2 linked regions of the Elephas maximus indicus genome follow. The protein of the gene in region 2 purifies or fractionates together with the protein of the main gene of each other region. This does not show direct contact. Links are inferred from orthologs where the notes say so. Each region holds a gene or a part of one and is shown on either strand. Other genes may lie near its edges.

What was found.
Region 1: the proteins of RAD23B (region 2) and PSMB2 purify together in Homo sapiens (affinity purification with western blotting; 3 studies listed by BioGRID, with this or other methods). This does not show direct contact. The link is inferred for Elephas maximus indicus from reciprocal best matches to the Homo sapiens genes RAD23B and PSMB2.

What each region holds. Positions count from the first base shown.
Region 1 is NC_064821.1:76,947,877-76,951,789, forward strand, and holds the start of PSMB2 (proteasome subunit beta type-2), read right to left. Parts: upstream 2,792-3,913; 5' UTR 2,649-2,791; coding exon 2,558-2,648; intron 1-2,557. UniProt on the Homo sapiens protein: Non-catalytic component of the 20S core proteasome complex involved in the proteolytic degradation of most intracellular proteins. This complex plays numerous essential roles within the cell by associating with different regulatory particles.
Region 2 is NC_064827.1:56,783,053-56,786,965, reverse strand, and holds the start of RAD23B (UV excision repair protein RAD23 homolog B), read right to left. Parts: upstream 2,880-3,913; 5' UTR 2,465-2,879; coding exon 2,399-2,464; intron 1-2,398. UniProt on the Homo sapiens protein: Multiubiquitin chain receptor involved in modulation of proteasomal degradation. Binds to polyubiquitin chains.

The sequences.
Region 1 (3,913 bases), on a different chromosome or scaffold from region 2:
TAGTTCAGATTATACATGGTATCGGAATTCAGAAAAGAAAAGAGTTCTGTGTGGGTTGGTGTACTCTGATTTTAAAAATAATTTTACATAAGCCAAGAAATATGAAACGCAGCATACAACCAAACTGAGAGTTGTACCACCTAATTTTGATAAGCAATCTTTGGGAAATGCCTTCTCTATAGTATCAAAATATTTTGCAAAGCGACAAAATGAAAAACGAATGGCAAGTATTTTTCTCATTTTATAGTTGGAGAAAATAAGCCCCAAAAGGCTACTGTTTTCAGCATTCTTGCCTACCCACACAGTTTCTTCAGGAAATGAATAGTAGGAAAAAGTCCTTATACAATTCCAAAGCTCCCATCATAAAAGTGTTTATGCCAGAAAAAACCATGGGGAAAATCAGAGTTGACTGCAATTATTTCCTATCATTTTTCAAGAACTAACTCAAATTCATCTTTCTTCTAAACCACATTGATCTTTCCTTTCTCTGAATGCCCTTAGGAATCACTGCTGAAATCATTAATTTAAAAACTAATACTGACTAGTGATACTTCTTTTATCATACAAAATCACCTTGTAATATGCATTTCCTTGTTTCCTTAATGTTTTGGACTAATCTATGTCTAATATGTTGTACACAAATAGGCTTAAAGCACATTTTACTTTTCAAAATTATTTCACATACATTGTCATGATAAAACAGAAGATTTGTAAAGATACTGACTTGGTTATTCTACTTAAAAACAGCTTCTAAATAATTTGCTTATCAAAAGGCTCAGTATTCAAAATAACGGACAAATTTATTCTCAAACAAAACAAATTTACTCCTTTGAAAGACTAGTTTACAAACAGAACTTCTACAAACTAATCATCTAATTTCATTAAGTAATTTCACTTGAGGAACAATCCATACAATAGATGTTTAATAAACCACTTTCAGGACTCTCTTCTTCAGGAAGACTAGAACACACAAGTGAAGTCCATCAGAGGTCATTCTACCTTTCCAGCCTGACAATCAGATGCCTGCTGAGGCAGCAGCTGTGAACACATTTTTTGCCTTTGTTCATACATACACTTTAAGAAACCTTGGATTTAATAATTTTTCTTTCTTTAAACCCAAGATGAACTGTCAGCTGCTCTCAAAGTTTTCTCTAAATCTCTACAACCAGAAAGAATCTTTTTCCTCTGGATTACCTGAGCACAATCTCTTCTTGCTCTGCATTACCTGAGAAGTTTGATTGTAGTTTTCATATAACACTTCATGTAATTATTGGTACACATATCCGAATCCCTTATTAAACTGTAACTTCTTTTAAGATTATACACCTAATAATCTTAGGATAGGGGTTGTTTCTCACTCTTCTTTGCATTCCCCCAGCACCTAGTACTGTAACGTACACATAGGTATCCAAAACCTGTCTGTCAAACCAACAATTAAATCATCTCTGAGACAAAGCAAAATGCTTTTTCAACAGTAGCACGTCTATGATCAGTCATGAAAACACACACTTAGATTTCTCATGTCAACGACCAAAATCTTTTTTGAAGTATTTGAGTATACACTGTAGGAGACAGTATAGTACAGCAAATATGGGCAAAAGGTCTGGAGTCACACCACATAAGTTTGAACCCTGGTTCTGCCATTCGTGACCTTGGGCAAGTTTCTTAACCTCTGTGCCTCAGAACTAACATCTGTAAAGTGGGGATGTAATAGTGCTTATCTCAAAAGGTTAAACGAATTAGTAAATCATTTTAAGCACATACATAATAAGTGCTTAGTAGTAGTATTGTTGTTGGATGTTATAGACTCGATTGCGACTCAAGCGACGCTATGTACAACCGACGAAACGCTGCCCGGTCCAGCACCTATAAATTACTACCAAGTATTTATCACTCTCCTGGGCGTTCGCACGTAATTTACCTCATTCACTCAATCCTCACAGCAATCTTGTGAGGCTGGTAATACTAATCTGATTTTACGGATTAGAAAATCTGGGCACTGTAAAGTAACTTGTACAAAGTCACAAAGCAAGAAAGCGACGGGGGCTGGAATCGTGTCTTCTAATTCTATTAACTACTAAAACATAAAGAAAACTTGGCAGCCAGTGCCCAGGAAAACTAGAAAAGGAGCATAAGAGCTGAGCCAAGGGAAGAGACAGCGGAAGAAAAGAAAATACTAAGCTTCTGGTCCCACAGTCTCACTCTCCCCAGGATTCCACGAAACTAATCTCACTGGTAGCGACAACAGGAAACTTACCAGGGGAGCCTAGTGCTGGGCAGCGGTTTAAGCACTTACAAACTAAACTCTCTTAGGCAACTCTCTCCTAGCAAGTATTTAGCGAAGGCCAGTGCACTGAGCACTGACCTAGGAGCCCTGGGAGGAATGGCTAGCAAGGTCGTAAGCTTGTCTGTCTCCTCAGCTCTAAAAGATAAGTGGATGGCAGGCCAGGGCGGGTCCTAACTTCCAGACGTCCCTGGTACCCCAACCCCCCGCCCCCGAACTCCCTTCTCTGCCCCAACACCCAGGCCCGGCCGGGCCTCCCCTGCTTCCTCTCACCGTCCTTCATCTGGACAATATTGCTGGCGGCCACCCGGTCGGAGGCGACCAGGACGTAGTCGGGGCCCTGGATGCCTATGAGGTACTCCATAGTGGCGGGAGGCCGGAGGCTGCAGGTTCTACAGAACGCACGTCTCGCTGGCTTCTCGGCCTCACCGGTGAGACAGCACAGCAGGTCACAGCTTCACGCGACGTAGGCCGCGCTACCGCCCCGGTCACCGGCGCTCTCGGATGACGTACAACTGTCGCGAGAGGTCGGAAAGCGAGTGTGGTGCTAGGTGTGTTAAATCTGCGTTTGCCTCTTGCCCTGACGGTGTCTCTTCCAGTAATGGCTCTGTAAGTTACTTTGTGCAACGCCCTATTTCCTTATCCGTAACCCCCCTGAGGGGGAAGTTACACACCATATATGAAGTGCCAACCACTTATGGGTGCCCTAAAGCGATGGTCCCAGGTGGCCGTTTCCCCTTGTTACCCGGTAAAACCTTTCCAAAAATCTCTTACCCGAAAGACGAATTGGAGAAAAAGTGAGAGGATTCCCTACTGAAACCTTGGTGGAGTAGTGGTTAAGAGCCATGGCTGCTAATCGAAAGGTTGGCAGGTCGACGGGATGCAGACCCCAAATTCTCGTTAAGACCAGACTTAATGGTCTGACACTAGAAGGACCCTGGTGGTCATGTCCCCCAGACCTTCTGTTGGCCCAGGACAGGAACTCTTCCCAAAGCCAACTCTTCAGACATGGATTGGACTGGACAATGGGTTGGAGAGGGATTCTGGTGAGGAGCGACCTTCTTGGATCAGGTGGATTCTTGAGACTATGTTGGCATCTCCTGCCTGGAGGGGAGATGAGAGGGTGGAGGGGGTTAGAAGCTGGCGAAAAGGACACGAAAAGAGAGAGTGGAGGGAGAGAGCAGGCTGTCTCATTAGGGAGAGAGTAATTGGGAGTGTATAGCAAGGTGTATATAAATTTTTGTGTGAGAGACTGAGTTGATTTGTAAACTTTCACTTAAAGCACAATGAAAATTATTAAAAAAAAAAAAAAAAAAGGTTGGCAGGTCGAATCCACCAGGTGCTCCCTGGAAACCCTGTGGGGCAGCTCTACCCTGTGCTGTAGGGCCGCTATGAATCCGAATCGACGACAACGGGTTTGAGGGTTTTTTTTGTTTGTTTGTTTTTATTAAAGACGCAGCATGAAGGTGAATCATAAAAACAGCGGGAAAAAAATAGAATATTTTGATAGTCTTCGGAAGGGACACGTGCTTATGACAGGAAACCCAGAAGCAAGTTGGGGGGGGAAGAGGGGGGACAGAACCAAAACCAAACCAGTTGCCCTTAAGTTCATTCTGACCCATGTGTATC
Region 2 (3,913 bases):
AATAAACTGAAAACCAACAAGTCATTTTAATGTATGTAAATGTTCCATATATCATGGATTAAATGTTTTAATTTCTGGCCCGAGACTAACAGTATTCAGCCAAATTAAGACAAAATGCTGAAGATGCCACTCTCTGTAACAATGAGCTTTATGAAAATAAACTCCTAAAAGTATACTTTCAAGTTCATATACATACGCTTAGAAATAAACTGGAAAAGAGCAAATATAATTAAGAACCTATACAATTATAATATTGGCTCTAAGATAATAGCGTAAGTACCTAAAGAGCTTTACAACTCTCATAGAGCATAAATATTTCATTGGAGCTGTGGAAAGTCACTGCTTAACTTCAATAAACCCACACATAACCAAAACAACAACAAAAAACAACCAACCCCACCGCAGAGTCAATTCCGACTTATAGCGACCCCATAGGGTTTCCGAGGCTGTAAATCTTCACAGAAGCAGACTGCCACATCTTTCTCCCTTTGAGTGACTGGCGGTTTTGAACTGCAGACCTTTCAGTTAGCAGTCAATCGCTTTAACCACTGCGCCACCAGGGCTCATTAGTTACCACAAAAAGAAAAAAGAAACCTTCTTTAGGTTTCAGTAATTGTGGAATTAATTCCGGTAAAGATACTTTGGCACCAACATATATTAGTACAAAGAACCAAAACATATAGACATTTTATGTATAGCTACACAATAGTTTGAAGTAGTAACTAAAGCTGCGTCTGAAAACATAACTTTCATCCTTCAACTTATTAATACACACTAAACAGTAAGGAAATGTTTGGGAAAATTTTGTTTCTATTTATAATACTAATCCAGTCAAATACTCCTGAGAACACTTCAGTTTCTCACACATTAACTGATATTTCCCACACCTATATTAAGAATATATCGCACCCACACTTCCACATATAATGAAATGTCTTGCAATCAAATCATCTTGTGTCACAATTCCAAAAGAAGTTGGGAAATCTGTCTCTTAAACAATTAAAGACATAGAAAACTTCATAAAATTAGAGGGTAAAACATAACACTGTATCTAAGAGGTATCCACTGGGTAATAATTCCATTTACTGACCACCAGTTAAATGCAATTTTGTCCTCACATCTCTCTAAAAGGCAAGTAATTTTCCCCATTGTACAGCAGGCCAAACTAAGAGAGTTACAGACCCACAGACGGAATTCAAGTCTATCTAATAAACACCACGACTCCTGATCTCCAACAAAAATATAATCAATTTTTTAAAAAATATATAGATGGGCAGAAAACTGCTTAACTGTGTATAGCGTAACAACTCCAGAACCTAAGCAGTAAATTTACACACGTGACACTTTTAGCTTTTTGGCATAAAACTGTACTGACTTCAACTTAGTTGCTCTTTTTGCAATCGCAAATACAGAAAATGGCTTGAGAATTTATCATGCGGATTTTTGAAATGTTTAACTGCAGAACAGATTTAAAAGATTTTTTAAATATGGATATCTCCCTTGAAATGCTACTATGGGGGGGGGCGGTGAGGTGGCGTGAACAGGGTTCCAATACAACTCCTCCAATTCCAAGACTTCTAACAGAGGACCCATGAAATCTCGAGTTGGGACCGAGCCAGAATCTAAAGAGCTCTAATCTTCACCACCAAAGAGACCTTAACGTGCAATCTGCATGTGCATGTGTGTTGGGTGGCTGGATTCGTGATACATGCAAATAAAAGGTTTAATAACTCTGGAGGGAAAAGAAGCAAAGAATTCGTTTTCACCACTACTCACCTCCGAAAACTGCGGCAGGCGAAACCTGATACTTTTTTTTTTTTAAGGCTCGCTATCTCGGGTTACCACCTCCTAGACCTTAGAACCTAACCAGGTCTACTCAGGTCCAGACGCCTCATCTCCCTCCCCCACCTGTAAACCTACGCCAGAAAGCCCGGCTCGCTCCAGGGGCCGCCGCGACCTCCCCTCCCCCTCCGGCCCCACTACCACGAGCTCCCAGGCCGAGGCCTCCGGCGCCCCGCGGGCGTGCTCCCGCCATCTGCCACCAGGCCCTCGGCGTCCAGCCACTGCTTCCCATCCTCCCTCCACAAAGCCGGTGGCCAACTCCGAAGGGTCCGGCACGACGCACGCGTCCGAGGCCGGAACCCTGGGCCCTATCGCGCCCGCAGCCCACAGGCCGCACCTCGCGCCCGCACTCACGGCGCCCTCGTGGGTGAGCTGAAGGCTCTCCCCGCCCGGGCGCGTCGCAGGGCTCCTCTCGGGGCTGAGACCCGGTTCCGCGCGCAGCGGCCGCCGTGCCGCCCCCACCGAGGCCCGGCGGGCCCCTCACGCTCCCCGAGGCCCGCGCGCGGCCGCCCCCGCTCCACCCGACCCCAGGCCCTGTGTTCCCCGCCGCTCGTACCGTCTCCTCGGGGTCGATGTCGATCTTAAAGGTTTGCTGCTGGAGGGTCTTCAGGGTGACCTGCATGGTGCCACCGCGCAGCTCCACTGCCGGGCCTGCTCCGGGTGCTGGCCGCTGGGCGGGGTCTGTGGCCTGGCCGGGCCCTGGGGTCGCCGGCGTTCCTCGCACACTCAAGAGGAAAGCGGTGGGGGTGGGGGCTTGTCACATTCGCCCTGCGGAGCGGCCTCTCCCCCAGCCCTGGCCCCAGGCCGAGCCGCTGCCTCCGCGACCGCGGCCTTCCACGCGAGCTCCGGCCGCGTCCGGCGTCAGCCACTGAGTCTGCAAGAGGTGCGAGGGGCTCTGAGCGACAAGCAGGGAATCCGCTAGCTCACCACACGACGGTCGCCGCCATCATCGTGACTCGCCGAGACGCACCCCCCTCCCCCACCCGAAAAGCTGGGGATGGGGACGGGCTGGCGAAGCGCGCAGGCGTAGGGTGCGGCGAGACTATGCGCATGCGTGGTAAAGAACTCCGCCCCAGAATTGGGGGCGGGGCGTATTGCTGCTCTGGAATGTCGGCGGCCGGGATCCGGCGTACGCAGGCGCACACCGAGGACGTCGCTTGGGCTCTCAGGGCTTCCCTGTGGTGTCTGCAGCCCGGGTGTTCTCCCAGCCCGCCGCCGCCCCGCCTACGCCCGGAGCCCCCCCGACCGCCGGAGTTGCGCAATTAGTAGCCGGGGAATCGCTACGTGGAGAGCGGACCAAGTGGGTGCTGAGCTCCGGAGCTGGAGAACTAGAGGGCAGTAGATCGGGGCGGAGTTTAAGTGAAAGGGTCCAGGTAACCACCGAGATGGGCCCCTGCTACGCGCCTGAGGCTATGTGATGTTGACTGATTCTTTAATCCTGAGAGCACAGGCTACGTACGATGCTAGACTGCCCGGGCTCACATTTTGTCTTCTCTTCTTACTAACCTTCTGAACTTGGGCCGAACTAGAAGGACCTAACGGAGGTTAAGTTACGTCACTCCTTTGCGCAGAAATCTCCGGTGATTCCCCGTGTCACCCAACGTAAACTCAAGGTTCTTACAAGTGGCTACTAGACCCTTAGTTTGCATCGCATCTCCTGTCTCTTCCGCTTGTTGTTGATGGATGCTGAGCTCCCGCCGAAGGGCCTTTCTTTGCACTCTCTTTTCCCACACCCTGATGGCTCTTCCCCCAGATATCTGGATGCCTCGCTCTCTCTTCTCCTTCACATCTTTGCTCGAATGTCACCTCAGTGAGGTGTGTCCCGGCTACGTTATTTAAAATCGCAACCTCTCTAGCTCCGTTATCCTGCTCTATTTTTTTTTCTTTCAGGAATATTTATCACCTATACATATGAAAACCCTGGTGGCGTAGTGTTTAAGTGCTATGGCTGCTAACCAAAAGGTTGGCAGTTCAAATCCACCAGGCGCTATACGAGCCTTGGTGACCCAGTGGTAAAGAGCTCGGCTGTTAACCAAAAGGTCTGCGGTTCGAACCCACCAGCCGCTCCTTG